Notamacropus eugenii: one gene and its partner. The protein of the gene in region 2 purifies or fractionates together with the protein of the main gene of each other region. This does not show direct contact. Links are inferred from orthologs where the notes say so. Each region holds a gene or a part of one and is shown on either strand. Other genes may lie near its edges.

Region 1 (15,218 bases), on a different chromosome or scaffold from region 2:
ACCAACCAGCATTCCCCAAGAGCCTCCCAGGCCCAGAACTAAGCACAAGCAACACAAAAACAAAGAACAGCAGCTGTGGGCCTCCAGGAACCTCTACTTTACTGGCAGCTCCAATGGGGGCAGCAAGAACAGGTTCCTGAGGGAGGGGACACTTGAGGTATGTTTGGAGGGAGCCTGGGATTCTAAGAAGCAAAAGGGAGGAGGAGCCCTCTTGGCCGGGGCCCAGTGAGGGGGGGAGTATTGTGACCTCACACTGAGAAGACCCCTACAAGGGTGAGGACAGTCAGCAGTGTGAGCCCCAAACACCCCCCATATTCTGAGTGACCAGGAGCAGGCATCAGGAAGACAGCACCTCCTAGACAGTGACAGAATGCAGGAGGAAGAGGGTGCCCATCTCTCACCAGAATCCCTGGGACAGAGCCATCTGTCTGGCTGTCATGTCCTTCTCAGCCTCCTTTTGTGGGAGACTCTCAGTGACAGAAGCTGTGAATGCCCACTTTGTCCCAAGGATGTAAAGGAAAGGGCTGCCTCCCTTCCCTAAGCCAAATGAAATCACAATTCCCATGTCATCACCCCTTACGCCTACTCTTGCATTCCCTGAGGCACAGGGCCAGACTGGGGCCTCCACCTCCTATTTCCCACCAAAGAGATGACCAACTGTCCAGTGTCTTCACTGGACAGAATAAGAAAAATGATGGACGAGACTTGATATACAGAGAACTACGTGGAAAGCACAGAAGAATCAGCCTCTGTGCTCGGACAGTGAGTTCAACTCAAAGAGAAACCAGGGCCACTCCACTGCACCCAAGGATCCCTGCGAGCCACACAGTGACTTTGTGTTAAAATATTATCCAGGTTTGTGTTTAAATATGGTGGAGCCCTGGGCTCCACCAGGCCCTCCTGTTCTTCCTCACACAAGCCGTGGCATCTCTAAGCCTTGGCATGGGCCAGGAATGGTCCCTCCTCACCTTGGAGACCTTTCCTCCTTTTCGCCCCATCTGCTCTGTATAATGGTACATGTGTGCATGTTGTCTCCTCCAATACAACATGAACTTCCTGATGCCAAGGTCTGGTTCAGTCTTGCCCCGCAGCGGGGGCTTCATAAATCCTGGACTGAGCACATCACTGTCAGCATGTGTCTTCTCATGCTTCCTGACTCAAGAGCTCCCCTCCAAGGGAGATGAGAATCTAAACTGCAAATGACAGCTGGCATCTACGTGAGAGACAACTCAACATGACATAGGAGGACAGTCTAACCATAGTAGATGATGGCCTCAGACGCACCTGCGCGATCCTGGATGGTGTGAGCTAAGGTGCCACGTGGGCAGATAAGACTGGAGAGATGATGCGAATATCAGGGCTAATAGCAGACTTCACCTCTGCTTTCTAACCAAGTTGATATAACGCGCTGAGCTCCACCAGCTGTGTGACCTTGGACAAATCCCTTCAGACTGTTGTGTAACACCTTACAAGCTTTTACAAGCCCTGTCTCTCTGGCAAAGTGGCTCCTACTCTAAAATGGAACGAGAAGTCTGAATATCTGACAATTTCTTGGTCCTCAAAGACTGCTCCATGTTACCTTTCTAAAAACCAGTTCTCTTATAGTAAAAAACAACAGAGACACTTCAAGAAGATTTAGATCCAAGTGCTGCTAGAGGGGAAACCTCTAGTCTGCTGCCCACAGTGTACATGATCTCTGATTAAGATGGTGGCATGATCTGAAGTGTTTGAATTTTGAAAACTGTCTTCTTCATTTAAGAAAAGATGAACTTTCCATTCACCACTGATACATCTAAAGTTGAAAAAATATATGGAGGAAAGTGACTATGAATTAGATTCTTCACCAATAATCAGGCCTCACCTCTGAGCGCTTCCATGATAGGCTGGATGGTCTCAGACCACTGATGAGAACTGATGGTTGTGTAGATTCCTGGGAAATCTCTCTGCCAGATTCTCTGTCCTACTGACCAGATTCCCCCAAGCTCAGAATTCGCCTGTAATAAAGAGAAACCTTCATTGCACCTGAACATGTCCACCTCACGTAGTATCCCTGGCTTCAGAGAGAATATGAAAAATGATGGATGAGACTTGATGTACAGAGAACTACATGGAAAGCAATCAGCCTCTGTGCTCGGACAGTGAGTCCAACTCAAAGAGAAACCATGGCCACTCCACTGCACCCAAGGATCCCTGAGGGCCAGACAGTGACTTTGTGTTAAAATATTATCCAGGTTTAATTGTGTTTAAATATGTTCCAATGACATTTTAATCTGGTTTGGACCACACGCGAGAGGGCTGTGACTGTGTGGGCCTGTGGGGCTCCTGTCTGACCCCTTATTTGTGCTGGAATGTTTTCTAGTTCAAAAACAATGAGAAGGATCTGAAATCCAAAACAGATCTGTCTTCAAATGTATTTAACTGTTACTCTAAAGTTTTTCAAAACTAAAGATTACCGTAGAAAGACAAAGCAGCCTGCTAAATAACCAAGAAAGTCACATTTCAAGATAGAGACTTGGGAGGAAAACCAATGTTAAAGATACTGAGCATTTACTGCACTGATATCATTCTTAAAAACAAAACAAAACAAAAAAACACCACAATTCTGATGACAAAATTTACTTTGTTACTACAGAACCAAGACTCTTTGAGCTGGGAGTTGTGTAACATCCCAAACTCAGACTGTGCAGCAGCTAGAATTACTGAGCAGAACACGCTGACTGCTTCAAAGTTATTCTAGAAAATCCTTTGTAAAACTTCAAAAGCTTCACAATGCCTTTGACGTGGAAGCTCCTGCCGCCAGCCACCCCACATCCTGGTGAGGTTGGACAGTAACTGAGCCAATCCCTTCCCTCTCCCATACAGATCCTTGGTTGATGAGCTGGCCAGAACATTGCTGGGCCCATCCTTGGAAGAGAGACTGCACATGATCAAAGCCTTTTTAGTTTCTGGGGAGAAAACCACTGGGCAAGAACATATGACACAAGACAGGTAAGTAAGCTATGTACAATCTGGGTAATCTAAGCAATTACTATCATTACTATTATAAGAAATGTATTTAAAGCATAATAACCTTACAAAGGAGTAAGACAGACATGGAGATTACTTACAGATTTTATAGCAGGAGGAATTCTTTTCCAAAGATATCGAGCATTATTCCTAATTTATATCCACAAAGAAAAAAAAAATCAGTCAAGTTTGCTTCACTAGGCTCAACATCCTAGTGCTACAGAATGATTTTTAAAAAACATTTCAATTCACTTTTGCAAGCTCTGTATAATCCTGCTCTAGAATTACTTTGGCATGTGTGTGCATACACATGCATGGGTTAGGCTGGGGAGAAGCAGCATCCCAACTGAAAAGATATTCAGCACTTTTTTACTGGGAGAAAATCTTTTACCAAGGTAAGTGACTTTACACTGGTACTTCGTGCAAACCCTTTGCACCTGGAGAAGAGCGGCTCTAATTTCCTGACTGACTTGGGGTTTCCTCAGCCAGGGAACCAGGATGCTGCCAGGCCTGGCACATATTGCCTGGTATGCCAAACGTTCCTCAGTTTCCTCAGGACCATGTGACAATCCTTTTTTACCTAATCTAAGGCAGGGGTTATCCTATGCCAAGATATCCTTCCCTTCTGGAACTAAGCAGTACTTGGGAAGGGGCACTGCCAAAGTTTTTCAGAGACCAATTTCAAGGAAATATCAGGACTTCTCAAGAGGTTTAATTGCAGGCTAAATCTAAAAATGGAACTGCTGTATTATAGTTTTTGAACACCTTTCTTATCAGTACCAGAACTTAACTATCCCCATAATGTGGATTTCATTTAACTTCAAACACACCTGTCTCAAGAAAAAGACATGCTCTTTAAAAAGTTAGACATAAATCAACTAGAACCCCTATCTTAACTAGACTCTGGGAACAATTTCACTTTGATTTCATTGAATTTAAAGACTGCAGTTCACATGTGCTGGATGCTCAGCACACGCAAGAAGCTTAAAACACCAATTAAAGCAAAACAGATACACTCAGGAAGGGGGAGTGAGCAGGCAATGACATCACCAAGGCAATGAACACTAGGGCTACCCACATGTGGGCTGCTGATCTGGGACTTCAGAGGCACTATCAGGAGCTGGGAGAGGATGGTGTTTGTAACCAGAAGGAGGCTGACACTGTGTGATGTGGCCTTAGGTACCCATAGGCCCCACCATCCTGGGCTTCTCTCTTCTTCAGGACCAAAGGAAGGGGGTGGACCAGACCATCGGTACAAACTCAAATAGAAAAGGACCCCTGCAGGCTGCATACTGACTTAGAAAACCACAAATTAGCATTATCTCTGTCTTTTTATTTCCTTAGTTAAACATTTCCCAATTACATCTGAGTCTGGCTCTGTTGCAGTATAAACTGGACACTACTGGACTAGAATCTCTAAGGCCCCTCTGACTCCGGAGTTCTCCTCCACAAAGCTCAGGGCAGGGCTTCCACAACTGAGGTTCAAAGGCAGAACCTCCAGCCTAGAGTCACCAGGAACTCCACTGGAGCTCATCCACTGGGAGCTCCAAGTCTAGGGTTACCTTTTGTGCTCATCAGGAGGCAAGGCTTCCTCTGGTGGGGGTGACTTTGGTTTTCTTCTCATTTAAAAAGGATTAGCCAGCTCCAGGCTACAAAGGTCACTCATCATTGCCCCTAAACTTCTTTCCAGTTTTTTCAACTCAGTTCAATCCAACAAGCGTATATGCCCAAAATACCTGCTCTGTATATGGGGGTGGGGGCTCAACAACAGAAAGGACAACTGTCCTTGCAGAGAGAACGTTTTGTGGGTGGGGAGGTGAGAAGGAAGAGACACAAGCCAGTGAACAGGTAAGCAAATACAAGACAGCATGAGGTAGGAGAGGGCTGACAAGCTGGACTATCAGGCCAGGTTACCCCCTCCCCCACCCAGGGGGATGAGTGAACAGAGGAAAGTACTGACACAGGCTGTGCTCTCCTTTGCTGTAATCAGTTGATTATCAGAAGATTACGAAAATGTTCTAAATAAACATAAAATGGGCTAGAGCTGAATAAGGTCATTTTGGGCATTCTTCTGCTTGTATAGATTTTAGGACCTAAAAAGCAGCATTTTGCAAAGTGGCAGAGATCACTCACCTTAAAAATACCCTCACCTAAACCCAAAGGAAAAAAACTCCAAGAGTTTTCTAAAATAGCGGCAAAGCTTTCCAAAAAGATCAGTCAGATCTTAGCCACGGTGAGCCATGGAAACAAATACTTACATGTCATTGTGCAGAAGGTACAGAGCCAGGAGCTGCCCGTACACGGGGGGCGTAGCGATTCCTCCAGGAGCCTGGGAGACAACACACACAAATGAGTCACCAAGGCCATCCATGGATCCTTTTGTCATGTTCGTAGGCAGTGCAGGAAGTCAGCGAGGCCCGGGTTCGAGTCCCACAACTGACACCAGCTGGCTGCCAGGGCACCAAGCCTCGTGGGAGAAAGTGTTCAATCTTGCCTGGTAGAAGTGTTTTTCCTCCAGGAATTCCCACCACCAATGAAATCCCAGCTTCAGTTCCTATTTCCTACACTTTTATCCAAACTCTTAAATAGGCACGACTGGAAACATGACTGTTTTAACCAAAATGTTAATTCTAACGTTCTGAAAAACAAGAGTATTTGCCACAGGATTTGTGGAGCAAAAGGTGCCAATTTTTTTCAAATACAGCCCCAAAACGAATATCTAAGAATGAAAACTGGAAGTTGTTCCTGGAAGACCTTTTCTCCGCCCTCTTAATTAAAGAACTTTTAACGCCCGGCGGCCTCATGGGCAGGACGCCCTAGCCTGGGGTGTCTAACTCTGACAAAGGCTGGCCTGATGACCAGTGAGACTCCAAGGTGCTGCTGGCCTGCACCAGTGGGGGGAATTTCCTCACGCGGGAGTGAAATCACAGGGCCAGTCCCGACCCCATCCTGGGGCTGCCGGGTGGGGTGCACCAGCTGTGACCCCGGGGAGGTCGCCTGCCTCTCTCCGTCTCAGCTCCCTCATCCGTAAAACGGGGATCATGATGGCACCCCCTCAGAGCTGGCGTGAGGATCACAAGGAGGTCCGCACACAGTAGGCTCTCTACAAATGCTTACTCCGCGGACCTCGGAACGAGCGCGTGGATAACGTGACTACCTGTCTGTGACGTCACTCACCGTCGCCCGAGGCTCCGCGCGGCATCCAGCAGGCTCCCCTACGTGCCCCACCCCCATTTCTGCCCCGGCTTCACGGGCCGTGGGGGAGGGGTAACCGCCCCTCCCCCTGCCCTGCTCCGTTGCCCCGGTAACCGGCCCCCTCCCGCCCGCGGGTAGAGCTGCCCCGTGCGCGCCCCCGCGGCCGGGCGCCGCCGGTACCTCGAGCTCCTGGTTCTCGCACTGATCCAGCAGTTTCTTGAAGCTGAAGGCGGCGTTGTCCGCCATCACGGCCACGGGCATCTTCCCCGCCTGCGCCGGGCCTGGGCCTCCCCCTCCGCCTCCTCTGCCGCCGCCTCAGGCCGGGCCCCAGAGCTCGCTGCCGGCCGCCGAGCGCCGGATCCCACAAGCGGCGTCGCGCCGAGAGTGACGCTCTCCAGGCGCCGAACCCTTCTCCGGCCACGCCCCCCGACTTCCGGCCTTCCTCCCTCAGCGTGCGCCGACCCGACTTCCGGCTCCTTCCACGGGGCTCCGCCCACCGCGCTGCGTGCGCGAGCCGCTCTGCCCCGAAGTCTCGCTGCTCTGGAGGACTCATCTTTCACCTCCCGTTTGCTGAGACCTGTGCTGGGATCCCGATCCCGGCTCCCGCGTGCGCCCACAGAACTGGGCGTGCAGCTAGTGCAGATGGGGAAACTGAGGCCCAGCTGACCAAGGTCGTACAGCTCATAGATGCATAAGCCTTAGACCCCGAAATAACTGTCCAGAATGCCCCAGTTTACAGGTGGGGAAACTGAGGCTCAGAGAGGGGAACCCACCTCCCCTAAGTCACGCAGCACATAGATGCCTCTAGAGGACCCAGATGCCCATTTTACTGGCGGGGAAACTGAGGCTCAGAGAGTGGAACCCACCTCCCCAAAGGCACACAGCACATAGATGCCTCTAGAGGACCCAGATGCCCATTTTACAGGCGGGGAAACTGAGGCTCGAGAGCCAAACTGACTTACCCAAGGTCATGCAGCACAGGGCTTTAGAGCAGGCACATGTATAGTTCAACCCTCCAAGGTCCCTTCCAGCTCTAGACTTAGGATCCTGGGACTCTCCCCCCATTACAGATGCAACCCCCACACCCCACCCTCCCCTCAGAGAACCCTGAAGAGGAGCTAGCTGGCCCAGTGGTGTGAGCTGTGATGAGGACCCGTCTTGATCCAGGCTTATAAAGCCTGCCTCTGAGGTCTCATTTAGGATCAAATAGGGACTTTTGTCTATGTGGGGGGCCCTGGAGAAATTCCCTACCTGGGATTTTATTATTCAATAACTTACTTTTCTGTATCCACTAGAGAAAAAATGGGTTGATTGTGCCCCTCTGCTTTGGCAGAGTGGTTCTCCGCAGTCAGAAGCATTCTTTGCAGTCACCTTGGTGGGCTTGTTTGGCAAGCTGCTCTGCCAGCACTGGGCCCCTTTGGTTTCTCATCTAAGGGTGACCAGATGACCACCAGTTGACCCCAGGCTCCAGGTACTTTGTGGGACAACTCCATGTAGTCTGGGAAATTCTGCAGGTATCTCTCAGGCTTTCTTCTGAGCCGGGAAACTGGTGTTTTGTCTTGAATTTCTTTTCTTTGCCATTGTGTTGCGAAGGCTGTTTCTAGGCCGTCATCCAGTACTAAGCAAGCAGTGATCTTTGGCTAATTCTGTGAGATGCTCTTTGTGTGCTGAGTCCATAGACCTCTACAGTGGGCACCATGTGCTGAAAACTCTCTAAGATGGTGGCATGCGATCTGTTTCTGTACTCCAGCCCTGGGGGAGGCATTCAGGGACCATTCTTATGGCTCTCAGGAACCCAGAGAGCTCTTCTGGATGGGGGACATGGGCAGTGGGTTCAAAATGTGCCATGGCCAATTTGCCTGGAATAGCAACATTTTCAATAGATAGAGAGTGTCATGTGGGCCTGGCAGAGGAGTCCTGGGAGCTTGAGCTTTTGGTGATCTGGCCTCTGGAAGCCTCTAATGATATAGCATGGAAAAACTGGGTCTCTACTGCCCAAGCAGTAGTTCTATGAATGGAGTTCTATGAATCATTCTGATCTTATTGTTGCTGAGTCATTTCAGTTGTGTCCAACTCTCTGCAACTCTTTTTGGGGTTTTCTGGGCAAAGATGCTGGAGTGGTTTGCCATTTCCTTTTCCAATTCCTTTTACAGATGAGGAAACTGAGGCAAACAGGGTTAAGTGACTTGCCCCAGCTAGTAAGTGTCTGAGTTGGGATTTAAATTCAGGTCCTTCAGACTCCAGTCCCAGAATTCTATCCACTGCACCACTTAGCTTCCCTATATTGGCCTGATGACTGCATGTTTTTTGACTGGCTGCTGAGATGGAACTGGGTTTACATAACAGGGACTCCTGTGGGGGCAGCTCAGCCCTTTTTCTCTGCCTGGCAGGTTCAAGTGAAGATGAAATCCTATAAACCACTTTCCTATAAGTGGAAAGAGAGAGAGGTCTTGGATCAAAAAGTGGTCAGAGATTATGGGTCTCAGATGTTCTCTCCTGCTCTTCAGGGACTGAGGGTCAGACTAGGCTGTGACCTTGTAAGCTGTGAAAGGTCAAGAGCCAGAACCAGCAGATACCTGGAAGCTGGAATCCATGCCAGATTTAGGGGAGGTCCCGTGTGAGCTGCTGACCCAGCCTAACGGGGTGGAAGGCATCCAGAGGAGGTACAGCCACTCATTCATCACCTATGCCACATTCTAGAGTGAACTTTGGGCAGGGCCCAAAGGGGTCCATCGGAGAATGGGCCCCTGAGTAGGGGGAAGGGGAAAATGCTTATGACTTCTGCCCTTACTGTATCTTCTCAGAAGATATCACTTTGGAAAAGCTAACTGATACGAGTTGGTTAAATGAGAACCAGAGTACTACTCACCAAAGGACCTTGGGGAGAACATGCTGGAATGGACACTCAAACCGATGGCATAAGAACGGAATTCTCCCTACTGGGGGAGATGTGGTCCTGCTCAGAGACCAACTTCAGAGTGTGAGTTGGAGTCAGGATCTCTCCCACCTTATATGAACTCTCTGGAGGAGAAAATGCCTGCTGAGGGCTGAGGACTTAACCTGGTAACTAGTTCAACCCTGCCCATTCTACAGAGGATAGAAATGAGGCCCATCAAGTACAATTGACTTTTCCTGACTCCTGGCATGAGACTCTTTCCCTCTGTAACCTACCATGACACATCAGGCCTATGGAGGCAGGGTGTCATACAAGACATCTCCAAGGTGTACCCCAGGCAATGCAAGTGATTTCATTTAGCAGGAAAGTAGAATTAATTTTCAGAAAATGACCCACCCTCCTGAGAAGAATATGAATCCTCCTTGCTGGAAAATGTTAAGTTTGCATTTTAAAAATCAGTTGCAAATCATTTTTTGGCAACCTGTGAACATAACTCCAGAAGGGTTGACAAACTTATTCTTTTGGAAGGATTCTGAGAGTAGTAAATCCATCCCCTGGAGGGAGAAGCCCCAGGGACTTCTGCACAGTCCAAAGAAAAATGCCAATGATTATTTAATCAAAAAGTGTTTGTTAAACACCAAACGTGCACCCCATGCTCCCAGCTGCCATTTCCTTCTCTGCCTCCTGGCCAGGATTTTCAGCCTTCTCAGAGCAGGTAAGTGGAGGTAACTGCCACCCCAAACTCTGGTGCTCTCCTCTCTGTTTCCTCTTCACTAGGGGGTTCCATCAGCTCCCATAGGGTCTTTGCAGGTGACTCCCAGCCCTAAAGCCAGGAGCACAGATATACAGTTGGAAGAATCCTTAGAGGTCATGGAGTCAAGTCCTGTCTTCTGCAGATGAGGAAACTGATCCACATTACATGATTTGCCCAAGTTCCCACGGCTAGTGACCTTCTGAGGCAGGATCCCTTCTCTCTAATCTCCAGTTGGATATCTCCTGCCAGGCACCTCCAGTTTAAAACATCTAAGAGAGAATTCATGACATACTTGCTCCTCAAAAATCTTATCATCACATTTCTTCTAGTCCTGAATGGGAGAGCAGAGAAAGCTTTTGAGCTCTTCAGCCTGAGGGCTGGTCTTGGAATTAGGAAAACCTGGATTTCCACCCTACCTTTAACACAAGCTGGGTAGCAGGAGCCAAATCAAGCAGACACTCCATGTTTCAATTTCCTTATCTGTAAAATGAGAACATGACTTATGGTCTTATGAGGTTCAAGGAGATAATGAATATGGAGTCTTTGCTAACCCATGTTAGCTACCATCATCATCATCATCATCATCATCATCATCATCATCAGGAAGGTGATGTTTAATTGGGGCTTTAAAAGATGGTTTGACATGAGGGAGGGGAGGAGATATTCCCAGAAGAGGAAATTGCATGAGCAAAAGCCTGGAAGTGGGAAATGCCAGTGTTGATGGATCATCTAAAGAGGATAGAGCACAGAATACATGGAGGGGAACAGTCTGAGATAGAGTTGGGAAGTAGGGTGATGCCACATAGTGGAAGGCCTTGAATGCTGGATGAGCAACCTTAAGCTGTGGAAACAGTAAACAGGCATTTATTAAATACTTACTGTGTGCTTGATACTGTTAAGTGCTGGAATGGTGAGTAGAATGACAGAGAAATGGAGGTCAAATGGCTGATTGGATGGGGGAGATGAGGGAGATTGGTGTCAGGGAGAGATGGGTTCTAGTCCTCCTCCTGACACTCCCCAGCTGTGTGCTCATGGCTAAGTCACAACCTCTTTGGACATCAGACGATTCCCCCACTAATGAAATCACAGCTCCCTGGTATGTTGGTTTTGCTCTGTTCTTTTAGACAGAAAACCTCCAGACAGAATTGCTCAATGGCCTAGTTTTCTGGAGAGGGATTTGGTCACAGGATTGGAAATTTTCATAATCCTCTGAGCAACCACAACTAGAAATTGTAGTGAAGGTAATGGCCTACATTGAAAGAGGGAGTTTTTTTATATGAATTTCCTTTCTCAAATCACAGGTCTAGTGTCTGTCCCTATCCCTATTAAAATATTTTAAAGCATTCATCTGTCATGAAGTAGAATTACTTTGGAGCAGAGATGCCAGGACTGAGAAATGGGGCCTCAACAAAGTTCTTCGGAGCAGCTTTGTGGCCTGCCTGCAGCTGAGCCTGACTGACTTCATCATCAGCACTCTATCCATATCCATTCCTCCTAATCTTTGTTTTTTCCAGGCTACTGAGCTAAGAAACCACCTTGAAAAATGTTCTTCCCCACTTCTTCCATCATGACGGATCTGGGTTGAGATTGTAATCCTTCCCACATACTTTCTCAAACTAGTTTTTTACCTCTCTGGCTCCTGAGTCATTTGGCATCTCAGAACCCTCATTGAATGCAGGTGCAGTTACTTGGGATACTTAGAAGTCAAAGGACCATCCTATGGGGGGACAAATGGAATAAGATATCATAGCCCAGGGCTATATTTATTATATTTCCCATGGCTACATCACACCCACTGCCTTTTCAGTTGAAATATTTTAAACATTTAACAACATGAAGAAGGTTCTCACTTACAAAAATATGTAAGAAAAAAATGTAAAATTTACCTAGGGCAGCTAGGTGGTGCAGTAGATAGAATGCTAGACCTGGAGTCAAGAAGACTCATCCTCCTAAGTTCAAATCTAGCCTCAGACACTTGTTAGCAGTGTGATCCTGGGCAAGTCACTTAATCTTGTTTGCCTCAGTTTTTTCATCTGTAAAAATGAGCAGGAGAAGGAAATGGCAAACCACTCCAGTATCTCTGCCAAGAAGACCCCAAATGGAGTCACAATGAGTTGGACGCGACTGAAAATGATTGAACAATAACAAAAATCAGTTATGTGAAAAATCATTATTAAGTACAGACTTTATCTGCCACTGCTTAGTTAATATAAATTCAGAATCTGCAGGGCTCAGAGAGCATGACTTCTCATTCAAGAATGAGCCAAGGCTCACCTTTGTCCCCCTCCAATTGCCTCCTGGCAATCACTGGAGTTGATGAAAGGTGACTTTGTAGCATCTCAGAGTGAGAAGGGACCCCATTCTTGAACAGGAATCCCTTTAGCAACCTCTCCAGTAATCAGTGATCCCACCAGTTCTGGCAGCACCTAGACGGCTCTGCCTGTTCAGGAAGCTTTCCCTCAGATCAAGTCTAGATTTGTTTCTTTGCACCATCCACTTGGCTATTCTTTTTCTTCTCTGTGGACCAAATAGCACAAATCTAATTTCATTGGTGCGAATATTCTTTTGATCAATGAGGACTGAAGCCTCTCCCTATACTCTGTAGTCTGTGTCCATGGTTTTCCAGAATCCTTCCTAGAGGAAAGGCTCAGAGGATTGTTGATTTCCAGACTCTGGATTCATCCTTCTCTCCTGTTGGAACCTAAACTCCGTGTGGATGGGGATGATCTCTCTTTTGTCTGTGAACCATCAGTCCTTAGCACAATGCCTGGCACACAATAAGGGATTGAAAAAATCTTTTTCATTGGCTTTCATTGATTCATCCATTCCTCTAGTCCTAATATCTCAGGGTGGGAGGGGGTCCCATGTCACTCAGACTGTTGAGTAATACCTCAATTGACTCTCATTCTCCCTACAATGACTTTTTTTTTTTGCCTTTGTATCCTCAGAACCTAGTATACTATCCTGGCACATAGTGGGTTTTTAATAAACGCCTGTTAAACTGAACTGGACTGACTGAATCAAATGAATTGAATTGACAGGACAGAAACGCTGGCACGTTCCTTAAACTAGAAAGGTTATGAGTGTGGGCTTGATCAGGGTCATCTCTCTGTCTCTTATTGGGAAGGGAAGGAAGGAATAAGCATTTGTATTATTTATAGTTGCATATATATCATGTAGTTTTTTATGTATCCTCATTGAAGGATAACCAAGTGACATCCAGAGAGGCTAATTCTGAGGTTGACTGCAGGGTGATGGCCATTTTTTTCTAGCCTCTTAAAGATGATTGAATGTGCCCCAGTGGGGTCAGAGTCAGCATAGATGGAAGGTAGACTCATTCCAGGGAAGTTACACAATGGATTTATAATAATACCATCTACCTCTCAGTATTGTTGTGGGGATCGAATGATATCATAATTATGAAGTTCTTAGTAGAGTACCTGGCACGTAGTAGGTACTGTATAAATATTATCATCACCACAACCATCACAATCCTAATTTTATAAGTATTGAAAATATTAAAATAATTTTGCATACCTTTTGAATCTCTACAAATTCAAGATACTAATTTGAAAGTAATAGAAAAATTAATTGAAAGTCTAAATAGTACCACATTATTAATAGTAACTTGTGGCCTTGCTAGTGGTCTGAGGGAGATCATGCAGTTTAGGAAAGTATTTCATTTACAACCAGGGAGGAATTTAAATACTGGGAAAAGCTGCCTCCGTAAAGAATAAAAATCTGGATGGATGTTTAAATAACATTGTTATCACAAAAATGTATGCACAGAGGAACAAAAAAAGTTAGCCAAATCTCCAGAGGGGTAAACATTATCCTTAGAAATAAAACATTTCCTTCGTTTTATTGTGACATTTCAGCATTTAACCATCTATTAAGTAGTGAGTTAAATGCTTCTTGTCACATCTCTCTTTGTGGTTTAGCAACTAGAGCTCTGGGCTTAGAATCAGATTGTTTTAAGTAGAGAGAGGATCACTGGGGGTTGCCCTCATTAGGAGGTAAGAAGAATGGGAGAAAAGATAGATGGGGAACAAATGAGACTCAAATATGTTCCTGATTTGTAGACAAAGAATGTGGAAAGCAGACAGCACTGTGAATGATGGCGTCCATGTATCACATTCCATGCTTCATTGTATGTTTCTCTCCACATCAACTCGAAGAACTTTGGAAGATGGTGGCAAATGAGATGTTTTTGTGCTTCGCTGCTGTATTTTCCCAAGAATATATGAATAGCCACTAAGTGAAAACTAAGAATTATGTGAATACTGGAGAGTTGAATATTTTTAATGGGACCATTGTTGACCTGATGCTTTGCTTTGAGGGAAGAAATGCTACCCAAAGTCCTAAATGCTACAGACAGGGCCCCTGGACCTCACAGGAAGCATCAGCAACTTAGGAACATTCTCTGTCTGTGAAGAAGATGCTTCTTAGTCTTGTAACCAATCTGACCCTATAATCTTGCTAGCGAAGGGCTCATTCCTCTCATCTACCTTTTCTTCAAAAGTTGATTTCCCTTCTCTCTGGATGAACTAAATACTACATGTCTCCAAAGTGTTAGCACAATGTCAAGCTAATTAAAACTATTAAAGCTTAAAACTGTGCTAAGACTTTGGGGACATTCTATATTCCTGGAGAATGAAGCAGATAGGAATCACTTGCCCTTATCCGTATGATGTCCATCATTACCATCACCACCACTGTGGTTAGAGTCATCACCATCATTATCACTTTCTGTTCATCATATCATTCCCATGCCCACCATCCCCATGCCCACCACCATAATCATCAACAAAACTTGCTGTTTTTCCTTACAGTGACTGGCACAGTATTGTAGTGATTTATCAATGCCTTATTAGGTCAGGGAATTCTTTGACTCAGGACCTGTCAACAATGAATCAATGAATTGAAACAAACATTCACCTACTACGTGGCTACAACTTGTGAGTTGTTTATGGAGGACTATTTCAGGGCTGCTCATCCACCTTTCCAGTACACCTGTCACAAATTCTTATCTGTGACTATGAGAAGCTATAGCATGTACATCCACACATTTGTAAAACTGTCTTGGCAGACAGGCTAAACCAGGTTAAGGGTTACTGATGGGTCTCAAACCTGTCAGTGAGTTAGGGGGATGTCTACCCTCAAGCATGTGAAGATTTTCCCTGATGGAATGGATGAATGAGAACAGTTTGTTCCAATGGCCATGAAGGCAGCTGAAGCAGGTGATATGGGGCACTTAGAGCTTGATCAGACATCAGAGACAACAAGGTCAACTGCTGCATCCGGGACCATCACCAGTCATCATGACTTTTGTCCTTCCAGTGGACTTAAATGACACAGGAAGAGAGA
Region 2 (15,469 bases):
CTGAGGAATCCTAAAGGTGAAAGGGAAAGTCATATGGCAATATCTGAGGATCTGAAGGGCTTAGAGACAGGGCATATAGGGAGGCCCAGTGGTACACCATTTTATCAGATTATAGCTGGGAATTCCTTTGCTTGTCCAAGTGGTATGAGTGTCCAATTCTGACCAATGACTACTGGGAAGAAGTAGTGAGCGTGGCACTGTGTTACCTCCAATGGGAAGTCAGCATCCAACAGGGGGAGGGCACCTGGCACTTTGTGGGGATTGGGTAGAGGGAGCAGGGGGAAGTGGAAGAGAAGGGTCCCCCACTCCAGACCTATCCTTCTGAATCTGAAAAAGCCCATTGGGATCTGGGTAAATGCAGCAGTCAGGAAGGGACAGAGGAGGGCAAGGTCCTGAGGAGGTTGCCCATGGCAATCACATCAAAGGGAAGTCAGAGTAAATCCAATAAGAGAGGAAACTTGGAATATAGAAGGCCAGTTCAGGTGTTTCTGCCTTCATTAAATCTTTCAAGATTCCACCAGTGGAAGTCACTGTCCCTCCTCCAGTTTCCTTAGAGCATTCTCTCCCTATAGCCTTACTCATCTTATCCTTTTCAGATGCATGTTTTCATTGATGGGCAAAGAATATGGCCTAGAATGGGACAGGAAAAATAGTAATGAGAGGTGACCCAGCACTCCAGGGCTGTCCATTACTGCACACCTCTCCCTCTCACAAAGGTTTATCTTTTAAAAACAAAACAAATAAGCCCAAAACACCAGAATTCTCCTGATGACACTAGAGGGTTGTGAGCTATGGAATCCGAGGACTTCTGAAGCACTGACATTGTTGGTCCCTGGAAATGCTACCAGAAGGTCCATAGTGGTACAGATAGGGGGTGGGGATGGGTTGACTGCCCTACTGTGTATTACCAATGAGGAACTGCATACAAGGGACTAATGGGTGTCATAAAAGGAAGGTATGACTGGGAAAGGAGGTAGACTAGTCATGTCTCAATCAACAGCAAGAAAAAAACTTATTAAGCACCTACTATATATCGGACTATATGTCACTCAAAACAAAGTCACGTGCAAGTCATCATTTCTCTGATGTCATGGTCTTCAAAAATGGAGGAACACAACCTATATGTCAGGCACAATACTAAGGGGTACAAAGACAAATCCTTAGGGGTTTATGCCTATGTATGTAACAGGGCATGGCATGTACATAAGTAAGTACAGAATAAATATGAAGGCATATGATGCAGTTCTGAAGGCAGTTAGGTGGTGCTGTAGATAGAACCCTGGACTTGGAGTCAAGAAAACCTGAGTTCAAGGGTGGCTTCAGACATTTATTAGCTGTGTGACCTTGGGCAAATCACTTAACATCTATGTGCCTCAGTTTCCTCATCTGTAAAAAAGAAGCAATACTAGCACCTACCTCCTAGGATTGTGGTAAAGATTAAATGAAATACTTATTATTTTGGAAGGAAAGGGAGTAGTAACTTGGGGAATAGGAAGGTGGAGGGGGTGTAGTGAGGAAAGGTTTCCTGTAGAAGATGAAGTTCAAGCTGAGTTTTGAAGGGAACTAGAGATTCTAACAGGCACCAGTAAGAACGGGGAACATTCTAGGCTTTGAGGACAGTCTGTGCAAAACCCCAAAGAGAGGAGATAGATCATCTGTAGGCCACTAAAGCTAGCCCAAGGGTGGGGAACTTGGGGGCTTGAGGCCACATGTGGCCTTCTAGGTCCTCAAGAGCTCTTTGGCTGAATCCAAACTTCTCAGAAAAAATCCCCTTAATAAAAGGGCTTGTTCTGTAAAACTTGGACTCCGTCACAAGGCCACACCCGAGGACCTAGAAGGCCACATATGATCTCGAGGCCACAGGTTCCCCACCCCTGGGCTAGACCACAGAATAAGTGGGAGTGCCATACAATAAGGCTTGGAAGGTAGGGTGTGGCCAGCCTGTAAAGAGCTTTAAATACCAAACTGGATACACAATTTATTGTTCAGTCATTTTTGCAGTCATGTCTGACTCTTTATGAGCCTATTTGGAGTTTTCTTGGTAAAGATACTGGAGTGGTTTGCCATTTCCTTCTCTAGCTCATTTTACAGATGAGGAAACTGAGGCAAACAGCATTAAGTGACTTCCCCAGGATTTCACAGTTAGTAAGTATCTGAGGCCAGATTTGAACTCAAAGGGATGAGTCTTCCTGGTTCCAGGCATGGCACTTTATCCACTGCACCACCTAATTGTCCACATAGTTTATGTTTGACCCTTGAAATAATAAGGAACTCATAGAATTTATTGTTAGTATGGAGGGGATGTCATGGTCAATGTTACTACAACTTAGGAAAACCGTTTTGGCAGCTATGTGGAAGATGGACTCCAATTGGGGAGATTGGAGGCAAGGATGCCAGTTAGAAAGTGATTACAGTAGTGTAAGGCAGAGGTGATGAGGAGGATTTGAATTAGGCTTGAATCTAGGCAGAGAGAAGGGACAGATGTGACAGATGTTGGAGAGACAGAATGATTTGGCAACTGCTCAGACACATGGAGTAAGGGGTGAAGGAGGTATCAAGGAGGACGCCAAGGTTGAGAATCTGAGTGACCGGAAGGATGGTGGTGGTTTTGATAGTAGTAGGGAAGTACAGGAGAAAGATGAGTTTTAGAGGGAAGAAGAAGAAGAAGAAGAAGGAAGAGGAGGAGGAGGAGGAGGAGGAGGAGAATGGGGGGGAAGGGGTGACATGGTTAGATCAGCACTTGAGAAAGTTCAATTTGTTAGCTGAGAAGATAAAGGACTAGAGTGGGGAAAAACTTCAGGCAGGGAGACCAAGCAGCAGGCCCCTGAAATAGTCCAGAAGGGAGAGGATGAGGGCTCAAACAAGAAGGGCAGCAGCATCAGAAGAAAGAAAGGGCCATATATGAAAGATGTTACAGAAGTAAAACCAACACTTGGTGACAGATTAGTTATGGGGGGTGAGAGTGAGGAAATGAGGATGCCAATGAACTTGGGAGCCTGGGTAACTAGAAGGATGTGGTACCCTAGATAGTAAAAGGGAATTTTGGAAGTTGTGAGGAGGACTTTGAGAGGAAAATAATGAGCACAGTTTTGGACGTTTTGAGCTGGATGTCTCGGGGATATCCACTTTGAGAGGTCTGATAGGCAATTGGAGATGTAAGAATGGTGGTTGGGGCTGGATAAGGAGATCTAAGAATCTTCAGCATAGAGATAATAACTGAAACCTGGGAACTTAGGAGAGCATCAAGGGAGGTAGTATAGAAGGGGAAGAGAAGAGGGCTCTGGGCGACACCCACATTTAGCATATGTATCCTAGACTACGATCCAGAAAAGGAGAGACCAGAGAGGTAGGAGAAGAACCAGTACAGAAAAGCATCACAGAAACCCAGAGAGAAAAGGGTTTCAAGGAGAAGAGAGAGATTGATAGTATCAAAGGTAGCAGAGAGTTCAAAAAAGATGAGGACTGAAAAAAGGCCATTTCAGACATGGTTAGCAATTTTGGAGACAGCAGTTGTGATTAAATGATGTGATCTGAAACCAGATTGTAGAGATAAAGAGAGAGTGAGAAGAAAGAAGGTGGAGTTGCCTATAGTAAATGGCATGGGGTATTTTCCCAAGGAGGTTAGCCATAAAAGAGAGAAGAGAGATGGGACAGCTAGCAGGGATGGATGGATGAAGTGAGGTTTTTTTCTGGGAGAGGAGGTTAGATGGAGGAGACATCTGTAGGCAGTCGGGAAGGAACCTGTAGATAGGGAGAGACTGAGTTAAGGGAGAAGATGAGTATGGTGGAGAGGGCACATAGTAGGTGCTTAAAAATATTGATCAATTGATAGGAACACTTTTGAATGTGGAGAGGTTTGCCTTGGCATGGAGAAGGGCCAGCTCTTAAAGGGAGACAGGGCTTACAGGGGAGATAGTGGCACAAGGATAAGAGATGAGGAGGAGAGAAGAGAGAACTTTCAGTAAATCTCTCCATTTTTTCAGGAAAATAGGCAAAATTTTCAGCTGAGAGACTAGGGAGAGGGGCAGCCAGGGGAAGTCTGAGGAGGGATGAAAAGGTTTGGATGAGCCTCTGTGGAGAATGAGATAGTGAGCTAATTAGAGAAGTGTAAAAGGGTTTTCTAGCAGCAGTGCGGCTGTGTAAAATACATTTGTAATGGATGCAGACATCGCAGCTTCATGATTTTCTCCACCTTCATTCAGCAGCATATGTGCAGGATCTAAAGCAGAGGATAGTGGGAGTGATCCACTGCTGAGTCTTGGCAAGGCAAGATTGGCAATAAAATATGGGAAACAAGGGACTCAAGAGGACAGTGTGAAATTAAACTGGTGAGCAGGGCTTACCAAAGGGTCAAGATGAGGAAGGAGTGTGTAGTCAGCACAGGGTTGATGCCTAGGAAAGCACCGAGAGGATTGGGGTATTGGAGGTCACAGTGAGTGAAACCAAAGAACAGGGTTTGGGGTGACTGCATTAGCATCAATATCAAATCACAAAATATACAAAAAGGCATCCACGTAGAAGATGGCTAACTAGCATGAGAAGGTAGAGATGCACTGGAATCTGCTTTACTAGTGGGAATTCCCACATCAATGAGATCAGACCTTCCTTTCCATATCCAGGAGTCTTTGTGACCATGGCTTCTTTGTAACATACACTATATAATGGTATTATAGAAGCTTTGTGTTTGTGTATTATAGAAGAATTGTGTTTGGTTTTGGTTTGAATCTCCTTCTCTGGGCCTGGTATCTTATACAGAGTAAGTGCTAATTAATGATTCTTGAATTAAAGCAGAGCAGAGAAGGTTAAATTACAATGGTCCTTAAATAAAGGGCATAGAATGTCAGAGAAGAGAGGAAACTTAGAGGTCATCTAGTTCAGTCTCCTTAAATTATAGGTAAGTAAACAGAGGCTCAGAGAAAGTTAGACGGCTCAGACTCAGGATTGGAAGCTTGGCAGATCATGTTTAGAGCTGGAAAAAATTTTAGGAAATCACCTAATCCAATCATTTCATTTTACAGATGGGGAAACTAGGGTCCAGTGAAGGTATGTGAACTGCCCATGTTCACATGTTGTTGTTTTTTGTCCTTCCTTCTCAAAGAGGACAGAGATCTCAGGAAGATGATGTCATGACTTGCAAGTAGATTGGATTTAAGTGAGGCAGGGCTGTGCAAAGTCACCAGCCTCACTTTCTCCTCCAGAGCCATCAAGGTATAGATCAAGACAACTAGAGATGGTCCTGGCACAGTGGAAGACTTTGGCCTTTTTAAGGTAAGGTCTTTCTGAGTTGTCACGTTGACTGAGGCAATGCCCATTCAGTGATTAAGGCTAGGCAAGAGTCAAGGAATGACCCCTATCAGGTACCAAGCAATGACAGCTAACTGGTGCTTGGGCTAGGATCTAAGGTTGGCCAATTAATGAGAGCCAGAGTGAATTGGGTTTAAAGCATAATCTTAAGAGAAGAATCAAGCTAGGAAACCCCAAGACATTTTGCTAGATTTCAGCCATCAAAATTTACATTCCCTTGGGCAGAGTACCCAAAGGCAAGGATATGATACCATGTGTGGGCAAAGAGAAGGGAAGGGAAAGAAATGAAGGAAGGGACAAAGGAGGAAAGGAAAGGAAGAAGGAAAGGAAAGGAAAGGAAAGGAAAGGAAAGGAAAGGAAAGGAAAGGAAAGGAAAGGAAAGGAAAGGAAAGGAAAGGAAAGGAAAGGAAAGGAGTTGATCAACTGGAACTGGCCAGTTGAGTCCCCAGTGGGGTAGCTCAAGCTACTCATAGGTTGTTGTTTGTCCTTCATTCTCAAAGAGGACCAGGACTTCAGGGAGATGATGCTATGACTTGCAAGTGGATTGGATTTAAGCGAGGAAGGGCTGTGCAGTCATCAGCCTTTCTCCTCCAGACCTACCTGGGTCAAGATATAAATCAGGATGATTAGAGATGACCCTGTGCCCAGATCACATAGGTAGTAGCAACAACATCAGCTAGCATTTATATAGCACCTATTGTATGTCAGACATTGTACTCGACAAATATCTCATTTGATTCTCACAAAAACCCTGGAAGATAGGTGTTATTATTACTTCCATTTTACAAGTGAGGCAACTGAAGCAGATAGAGGTTAAGTGAATTGCCCAGGGCCACACAGATAGCAACAGTCAGAGACCAAGTTTGAACTCAGGTATTCCTGACTTCCTGTCCAGTGCTCTAACCATTGCATCACCTAGCTACAGTTTAAACTCAGTTTCTTTACCTCTAAATCTAGCTCTCTTTATACTATGGCATATTGGGTACCCAAGATCACATAAGAGCCAAGTCTCTGCCCAGTCAATCAGTCAACAAACATTTTTTAATTTAAGCACCTCCAATTGAGTTTACAAGGAAAGGTAAAAAACAAAACATCTCAACATTCTTTTTTTAATTTATTTTTTCCAATTACATGTAAAATCAATTTTTAACATTCACTTAAAATTTGTTTTTGAGTTCCAAATTCTCTCACTCCTTTTCCTCCCCCTTTCTTGAGAAGGAAAACAATTTGATATAGACTAACATATTTCTATATTAACCATGAGAACACAGACCAAAAACTACCCCCAAAATCAAGAAAAATAAAGTTAAAAAAAGTATGGTTTGACCTGCATTCAGACCCAGTCAGTTCTTTCTCTGGAGGCAGATAACATTTTTCATCACATGTCCTTTGGAATTGTGTTGGATAATTGTATTGCTGAGAATGGCTAAGTCATTCAGAATTGATCATTGCGCAGTGTTGCTGCTACTTTGTACAATGTTCTCCCAGTTCTTCTGGCTTCACTCAGCATCAGTTCATGCAAGTCTTTACAGGTTTTTCTGAAATCTGCCTGCTAGTCTTTTCTCATAGCATAATAGTATCCCATCACAATCAGTCATTTCCCAATTGATGGGCATCCCCTCAATTTCCAATTCTTGGCCATCACCAAAAGAACGGCTATAAATAGTTTTGTACGTGTCCTTTCCCTTTTTCTTTGTTCTCTTCGGATTACAGACCTAGTAGTGGTATTTCTGGGACAAACAGCCAAACATTTTTTGTGAACATTTCTGTATTGGCAGTTGTCACCTCCCTTTGACAAAAGTGGAGTGAAGGATGTCTGATGACCGAGAGTAGTGGTCTTCAGAGTGAGATGTGTGCCCTCCCCTCTGCAGAGTCTGTTAAGCCAAACCACTGGGATGGAGGAAGAAAATCTTCGAATGAAGATGAGCAGCCTAGAGGCTTACAGCCTTGTCCTGAAGCTGTTCTCTGGGTGTTCCCACACCTGTGCCCAACACAGGCTGTACTAGGGGCCATAAACATTGTTTAGGCACCTGCTTCGGGGCCAGGCAAAGACAGTCCCTCTCTGCCCTCAAGGTGCTTACAATGTAACGGGAGAAGACACCGCACAAAGGAAGCTGCAAGGGAAGACAAGATAGTAGAGGGCATCCAGCTGGATGGGTTGGATGGATGGTGGAGTCAAGACCTAGCGGTGTACGTGCCAGGGGAAATGAAGAGATGGCAGAGCTTCTGGGTCCTCTTGAAGCTGGTTCAGCAGGGCTCACTCCTCCCCTGTCCCCCACTTCAATAGAAGGACTGACTCCTTCTCTCCCAACCCCCATCAACAAGAAAAGACGCTTACACGATCCTAGCAGGACTTGGCCCAAGGCAAGCTGGCCAGCAGGGCAGCCCCATTCCTACCAAAAGGGCTGGTTCCATGGAAGAAAGCTGGATGAGGAGTATGAGGACCTGGGCTCAAATCCCGGCGAGGCTACTTATTAGCGACGTGACCTTGCACAAGTCACTTTACCTCCTCTGGATTTCAGTTCCTCATCTATATAATTCAGGGCTGGACTGGGCTGCCCCTAAGGTCTATGAGGTCTGCAGTTCATGGGATTATAGGCTGGTCGATTAGCCTTTACGGGTTTAAAAAGAGATGGTGAGAAGTAGCAGTCCAGGGGTGGGTACAAAGAACATAAGTTTGGAGTCGGAGGACTTAAATTCATGCCCCAGCTCTGATAATGACTTCCCTTCCTCTCTCCGGGTCTCAGCTTCCCCATCTGTAAAGTAAGAGGCTTGGACAAAACCGTCCCTAGGATGGTCCACTCTCCAGCTGTAAATCCTACGAACTGGTTTTTAGCTCCTGCCTTTGGTCTGGGCTTTCTGGCCCCGCCCCCAACTACACTTCACCTCCCCCTCCCCTTCCCCACTTCGAGTGCCCATCCCGCATCCTTCCCCGCCCTCTCTTCAGAATGGGCCCCTCCCCCGACCAATCAGAGATCGCGCTCCACCCTCCAGGGCGGTTCCCTTCGGGAACCAATCCCTGCTTCGGAGCCCGCTCCGGTCCAAACCGTCCAATCGCCCTGGGCAGCAGGGTGGGGGCCCCTCGGCGCCAGCCAACTGCCGTTCACGCCGGCGGCCGGCCGCGCTTGGGGGGCGGGGCGTGCGGCGGCGGCGGCAGCAGCGGCGGCGGCGCCAAGGAGGGCCGGGGGGAGGGAGGTAAACAAGATGGCGGCGGCGTGTCGGGTGCGGAAGGGGGAGGCGGCCGCTCGGACCTCTCTTAAGTGAGGCGGGGACGCCGGGGGAACCGAACCCGGGCGCCGGCCGCTCTCTCCTGCCTCCTTCTCCGCCTGCGTGCGCAGCGGGCCCGGTGCCGACTGGGCCGCGTTGGATGGGCCCGGGGCCGCCCGGCCTCCTCAGAGCTGCCCCGCGCGGGGCCCGGCTGTGGGGGAGCAGCGGCGGCGGCGGCCTGCGGTGCGGGACCCGCCCTCACCGAGCCCGGTCGGGAGAGGCAGCCGAGCCCCGGCCCGGCCCGGTCCCGGGCTGCCCGGGACTCGGAGGGTTGGGGGGAGGGGGCTGCTCTCCCGGGGGCCCCGAGGCCCCAGCCCCTTCCCCCCAGCCCCCCGCCCGTTACCTTCGGAGGGAGCGAGGGAGCAGCGACGACCCCCGCAGCCCCCTCTGCCGGGAGCCTCCCCGGGACGGGCGGAGGGGAGCCGGCAAGCGACAGCGCTTGGGATCCCGAGAGCAAAGGGAAGGGAGGGCGGGGGGAGGGGGGCGTGAGAACCCGCCTTTTAAGTTTACTTCCCCTCCCCAGCCCCGCGCCCCCAACTCTGTCTTTGTTTCAGGGTCGTGGGGTCAGTAGGTCGCCTTTAGCACCCCTACTTTGGTGGGGGTTGTTTGGCCCTCTCCTTCCCCCTTACCCTTTTTTTTTCCTTTGGAAGGAGTGGGGTACTCATCTCTACCTGTCACCTTTTTGGGGAGAGGGACCCAGAAAATTGGGATTGGGTTAGTTTGTTCCCATCCCGTTCCTCCCGGCTTTATTTATTAAAGGGAGGGATTTCCCCAGGAGCGGGTGGGTGGGAAGGAAAACTTGTCTGAGCTCTTTCCAGGAGCCCTTTGGTGGAGGCTCCCCAGGATCGGTGTCTTCACATTGACCTTTGGGGGGCTGGCAGTAGGGGACCTTTGGGGAGGGAAGCGGCAGGAGGGATCGGCAGACTCCGGGTGAAGGGATGCCCCCTGTGAAACCTTGATAAGTGTTGAGGGCTTTGAACTTTTGGCAGATAGAGGGGAGGAGCCTGTGTGTTTGTGTGTGTGAATGTGTTGGGGTGGGGGGAGTGGGACAAGAGATTGATATTCAGTAGAGGGAACCCTTTCAAGCAATCAAATTTCCACCACCAGTTTGTTTTCAAAGGGGGTCAAGTTTGGAATTCAAGGTGCAGATATCCTGTGAGCACGTTCGGACTGCTGATCCCAGTTTGTATTTGGGAGCCATGACACAAGGGTAATGGAAAGTCCTGAAAAGACTTCACTTTCCTTCTGTATTTGTCCAAGGGTCTAAAGTCCTAGAGAATGACCTAGCACTTAAGAACCCAACCTGGGCCTTTTTAGGGGCTGCAGTGAGTGAGGAGACCTGGCAGAGCCAAAGCAGTGAGACCGGGTCAAAAAACAAGCCAGGTGCCTGAGCAAAAGTTCTTGATGTTTTTTGTTTTTTTGTTTTTTTTTTTGCTTGAGAGCCAGGCACTTGGGGTGCATTAGACCCTTTTCAGGGACTACTGAATTACGTTAGTACAATCTTTGGAAGAGTTGGGTTTTTTTTTTCCTCTTCTGTTTTTGTTTTTTTTGTTTTGAGAAGAAAAGTTGAGAAAACCAAGAACTCAAGTTGGATTAAGGGATCCTGGTGTATCTAAGGGAGCCTGGTTAAGGAGTTTAATCCAGGATGGATTTGGCAGAACCACAGCAGTTGGGCATGTTTACAGAAAGTGAACTGATGTCTGTGGGTATGGACACATTTATCCACCGAATAGACTCCACCGAGGTCATCTACCAGCCAAGACGAAAAAGAGCCAAACTCATTGGCAAATACCTGATGGGGGATTTGTTGGGAGAAGGATCTTATGGGAAAGTGAAGGAGATGCTGGACTCTGAAACCCTATGCCGGAGAGCTGTGAAAATCCTTAAAAAGAAAAAGTTGCGAAGGATCCCCAATGGGGAGGCAAATGTTAAAAAGTAAGTATAATCTTTTTGCTCATTAGAAAAACAATGTAATTAGATCTCATCTTTTAAAATCTTTAAACTGGCAAGCAAATGAATGTCATATTCTAAAGGAAATGTTAGAAATTGCCTGTTCACTAACATCTTAGTCTCAGGTGGATGATAATCATACCCACTGAATGTTAAGCTGGTGAAGGCAATATTAGCAAAATACATATCAGTAGCCCAAACCTATAAATTGTTAACACCCTCTCCCATACTTATATCTGTTTGCTTTATCACGAAACTACTTGCTCTGTTGTCATGTGTCTGTCTACTCGATTTAAGTTTGCATTTCCACAGAATGTCCTTCTGAGCCACCAGTAGATATTTTGCATGACATGCTGCCAGTTACTGGGGCCAAGCAAGATTTGATTTGTTTATCCTGTTCAGAGGGGTTCCTGCTGTTGCCAAAATGAATTATTTGCACCAGCTTATCAGTCAGCAGGAAGGAAAACTTAGACCTCTCTAACTTGCTTATGATGTAACATAAGAAACATCAGTGACTGCAGATTCATGACCCCTGATGAGTTCTGTCTAGTGTTGGAGGTTGCCTGGAGTAAGAATTGTTCTCAGTTGGAAGGCAGAAGATTTAGGTTGTGGTTCTTCTGGCTCTGAGGCACTCAGTGGGAAAGTGACCTTGGGCAAGTCATGGCCCTACTTGGGGCCTGTTTCCCTTGTAAAATGAAGGGACTGAACTGGGTTAATTCTTAGGCCCCTTTCCTTTCTAACATTGTGAATTGCTGATTTCTAGTGGTTTTATATTTGGCTGCCTCTGCTATTTATGTACTGCGCACTGACCTCCTTCTGGAGATGACTTTATGAATCAGGCCCTGACCAGTAACTAAGGGTACCTTCCAACCTTGACAAAGTGGATGGGTAGGGTTAGTTATAGTAGGATAGCAGAATCAGTTAAGGAGCTGAGTTGAGTTGAGTTCATCATAAACTACTTGTTAATACAAAATAACCATTCATGTCATTATATCTACCCCATGTCATTCTGTGAATGGGATTCAGCACTTTCCCCTTTGCAGTGAGACTGGACACCAAAGAAAGGAAGGTAAACTTGGGTTGTGGCTTCTTAATGGAAACTCGTTTTGAAAGCGGAAGTATCTTCTTATTAGAAAGTGTCATAAATGAACCTCTGTGGCTCTTTGGGGATAGTATTTGGAAGGTAGGACTAGAGCGGGATAAAGTACATGGTCTAGTGGTAAGTGCACTGAATGAGGACTTGGGACACTGGAGTTCTGTTTCTGACCCTTCCACAGATCAGTAATGCGACCTTGACCAAGTTTCCCTGATCTGGGCTTCAGTTTCCTCACCTATAAAAGGAGGGTGTGGATTAGATAATTTCCAGCAGCCTTTACAGCTCTTAGCCTATGATATGATGCATGATGGGACAGACTGTGAAGTTGGTGTACTCATTTCCCCATATTTTGCCTAAGAAGGGTGCTCTGAAACTCTCTCTGCCTAATACCATACCATTTTCCCTTTGGTCTGGTTTTACTTTACTCTCTTTTACTTTGGGTTAGGTGGAACAGGATTGTAGTCTGTATCCAGGTTTGTGTCACTAATGTGAACTATAAGCCTGGACACATTGCTAGCTGTGATGTGGGCATTTCCACCTCACCACTGCTAAAGAGACAGTGTTTCCATTGGGCAGTGTCACAGGTTAATCCTTTGCCTAACCAGAACATTTGGGTTTAAAACTTAATCGTTTGAGTAATTTAATGATTCCTTGATGAGACCTTTAAATGTCTTAGTGCAGTTGGGCATTAGGTGAATACAGTCATTTTTCAAAGAACTGGAGAAGCAGTGAGGTGTAGCAGAGAGAACGCTGACCCTGGGAGTTAGGAGATTCAGCTTCAAGTCCCAGCCTTGCCATTTGTCATAGAATTTCATATTTGGAGGGGACCTCAGTGCTCTGGTTCAGCCTGTAGCCATTCCAAACAAAGGGACTCTGTGGGTTTTACCATTGACATTTGACAAATATTTACTGAGTACTTAGAGGTAGGCTGGTATAGAGGAGACAATGGGTTAGAGTGCCAGCTTAGCCAGGCACTGTAGCTGTGTGCCTTTGGGTAAATAACCTTTCTGAATCTCAATTTGTTCACTTAAAATGGAAATAACCCTTGCCCTGCCTATCTCATAGGATTGTGAAGATATATATGAAAACCCTGTCTAAATAGGAGCTAATATTACTCGGGTTTGGTATTACTAGTAGGTAGTTTTGCCCATTGTCCTCGGAACTGCCTGGCCCAATTACAAGCATTATCGGCATCCTGTTAAAGTTACATAGTTATGCATTTAGATTCTTCCTGAGAATAAACTTTTGAAGTCTATTAACTTGTATCAACAGAGTTGACTGGATTCCTAAGATAACAAGCATCAGAAACAACTCTCAGAGCTTTCTCTGATTGCCAAAGAAGTTCCTTCCACTAACTTTGAAAACTCTTTTTCAATGAAGAAAAGAGAGTTGATTAGGAGCAACTGTCCTTTTGTTGAAGGGTTGCAAGTAACTTTACATTTAGAGATCTCAGTTATATTTTTGTGAATGTTTTCCTTCCAGAAACACTATCCAAGACAGTAGACATTGTATGGTCTACACAGAATACACGTGTGGAATTAAGTATAATTTCTGAACTTTGTGGTCCTGTTGGATCTCAGCTGCCTTTACAAAAGAGCTAGTTAGTACTGGTGAATGTAGTACAGTGGAGACAAGTTGTTTTGGAATTGTATCACCTGCATTCCAGCCATAGGAGGCAGCTAGGTGGTTCAGTGAATAGAGAGCTAGGCCTGGAATCAGGAAGACCTGAGTTCAAATCCAGCCTCAGACACTCACTAGCTCTGTGATTCTGGGTAGGTAGCTTAACCTTAATTCACTGGAGAAGGAAATGGCAAACCTCTTCTGTATCTTTGCCAAGGAAACCCTGTGAAAGTGTGGTCCATGGGGTCACAAAGAGTGAGACATAACGGCATGATTGAATAACAGCGACAAAATACAGCCATGGCCCTCTTTACTGACTGTGACCTTGGACAAGGTACAGAGTCTGTCTGAGCCTCAGTTTGAAATCTGAGATCCTATGATCTTTCATCAATAACATAGCATTTCAGAGCTGAAAAAGGCAGTACAACATTCTAGGTTCCAGTCCTAACTGTGCCTCTGGTTATCTTTGTGACCTTGGGTAAATCAACCTCTTCTCCTCTGTTTCTTCACCCGTCAAATGAGAGCACTGAACTAGATGGTTGCTAAATCTCTTCCACTTCTTTGGTCTAGAACACATCTTGTCCAAAACTTCCTTGTTTTAAAGATGAGGAAACTGAGACCCCTAAAGGGGAAATGACTTGTCTTAGATCACATAGAGCAGCAGAGCCAGGGTTGGAGAACCAAGAACTGATTCCTATCCAGTGCTCTTTCTATTGAACCATATTGCTTCTCAGTTCATCAGTGTACTGTGCATTGAACTATGCATTCAGGTTTACAAACCAGGTTCCTGAGTGTCATGAATTTTCCCTAACCTTTGGCCTAAACCATCTGCATAGTGTCTGATTAAGAGCCCTAAGTTTGTTATAAATATTAGAAACTGCCACCTCCTTCTTCCTCTGACCAGCTGCTTGGCTGGCTGTGACTCATGCCCTCAGGTCTCAGGCCCCTTGTTGCCACACCCAACTGATGCTCTGAAGGAATCTAGTACTGAAAATTATTTTTCTCTTTGGTTCATATTGAGAAGGTACCAATTTTATTTTTTTAAACCAGTGTCTATGGCTTGATGTAAAATTTAGAGTTGATAACAACTTCTTATACTTCAGAGGGTCTTGTGATTTCATTGGCTTGGGTACCTCATACCTTAGATGGTTTCCATGAGTTGCTGTGGCCAAAGAAATTCCAACTAACTGGTAGGTCTTGAGATTGAGCCTCTCTGCACTTAGCCAGGCTGGGTGGTTTGGGGCTCCTTAGAGGATTCAGGGTCACCTCCATTTCCTCGAGTGGAAAAGAAGTTGGGTGTGATTCTTTAAATCATGAGTTTCTGGGTGAACTTGTTCTTTGAGTTTACGTCTAGTACGAACCAGCTGCAAGGAGAAAAGAACCTTTGTCTGTCAGAAGCTTAATAAACTAAACACTAATAGTGTTCTCTTTTAATTAAGTGTCAGGGACCTTTGGCGCAAGCCCCAAGAGCATTGTGCTGTACTTAAAATGTTCAGCATTTCTATTTTACTTGAATGTTTTGTCTTTCAAATACCTCAAAAATTATGTTCTTTAAAAAAGGTAATACAGGAGTTAACTTTATTTAGCCAATCAAGAAAACCCCTGTGACAGAATTGAGCTGTTCAGCAGTTCTCTTTCTTGCTGAGTAATTTGCTCCTCTCTGAAGCTAGCAGTGGCTTCCTGAGTAAGTGTGGTGTTAAATTTATTATCAGATTTTTAGAAGTCTTTACTTGACTGAATGTGGCAAAGTTGTAGAGATTTGAGCTCCCTATTCCTTTATGTGTGAAGCCAGGTACTATATTTGGATTGATTGGTGGATGCCTGAATTTGGATGTGAAATAGTCAGAATTTCCGCAAGTTGAGAACAAGAGCCTTGGACTTTGTCAGATTTGGTTTTTGTGAGGTGAGATATATCAAGTTCAGGGTGTTACTTGAGAATTACTCTTTCTCCCTGGGTGAGATCAGTATTTTGCTTTGAGAATACGAGCAGAATGTGGCCGGTTTGAATCCCTTCTGATACTAACCTGTTGCTGCCTTAGGAGTCTAGCTAGAATAAGGGTCTTGGATGTCTCTGGTTATTTCACTGTTTGTCTTGTCACTTCATTTGGCAGAAAGAAGGAATGATTTTGAAATAAAGATGTGACCTTAATGGACAGTGTGAGCTGGAGGAATGCAGGGAGGTGATTCATTAGTTTGTTCCAACACTTTCAAACTGGAAGAATTATTCTTGTA

Evidence for each region.
Region 1: the proteins of STK11 (region 2) and COPS8 purify together in Homo sapiens (affinity purification with mass spectrometry; 3 studies listed by BioGRID and IntAct, with this or other methods). This does not show direct contact. The link is inferred for Notamacropus eugenii from reciprocal best matches to the Homo sapiens genes STK11 and COPS8.

Annotation. Positions count from the first base shown.
Region 1 is NC_092873.1:61,835,840-61,851,057, forward strand, and holds the start of COPS8 (COP9 signalosome complex subunit 8), read right to left. Parts: upstream 6,700-15,218; 5' UTR 6,463-6,699; coding exon 6,382-6,462; intron 6,136-6,381; exon of another isoform or gene 6,050-6,135; coding exon of another isoform or gene 6,008-6,049; intron 5,916-6,007; exon of another isoform or gene 5,892-5,915; intron 5,336-5,891; coding exon 5,265-5,335; intron 3,157-5,264; coding exon 3,108-3,156; intron 1,995-3,107; coding exon 1,862-1,994; intron 1-1,861. UniProt on the Homo sapiens protein: Component of the COP9 signalosome complex (CSN), a complex involved in various cellular and developmental processes.
Region 2 is NC_092875.1:61,885,105-61,900,573, forward strand, and holds the start of STK11 (serine/threonine-protein kinase STK11), read left to right. Parts: upstream 1-9,387; 5' UTR 9,388-10,216; coding exon 10,217-10,506; intron 10,507-15,469. UniProt on the Homo sapiens protein: Tumor suppressor serine/threonine-protein kinase that controls the activity of AMP-activated protein kinase (AMPK) family members, thereby playing a role in various processes such as cell metabolism, cell polarity, apoptosis and DNA damage response.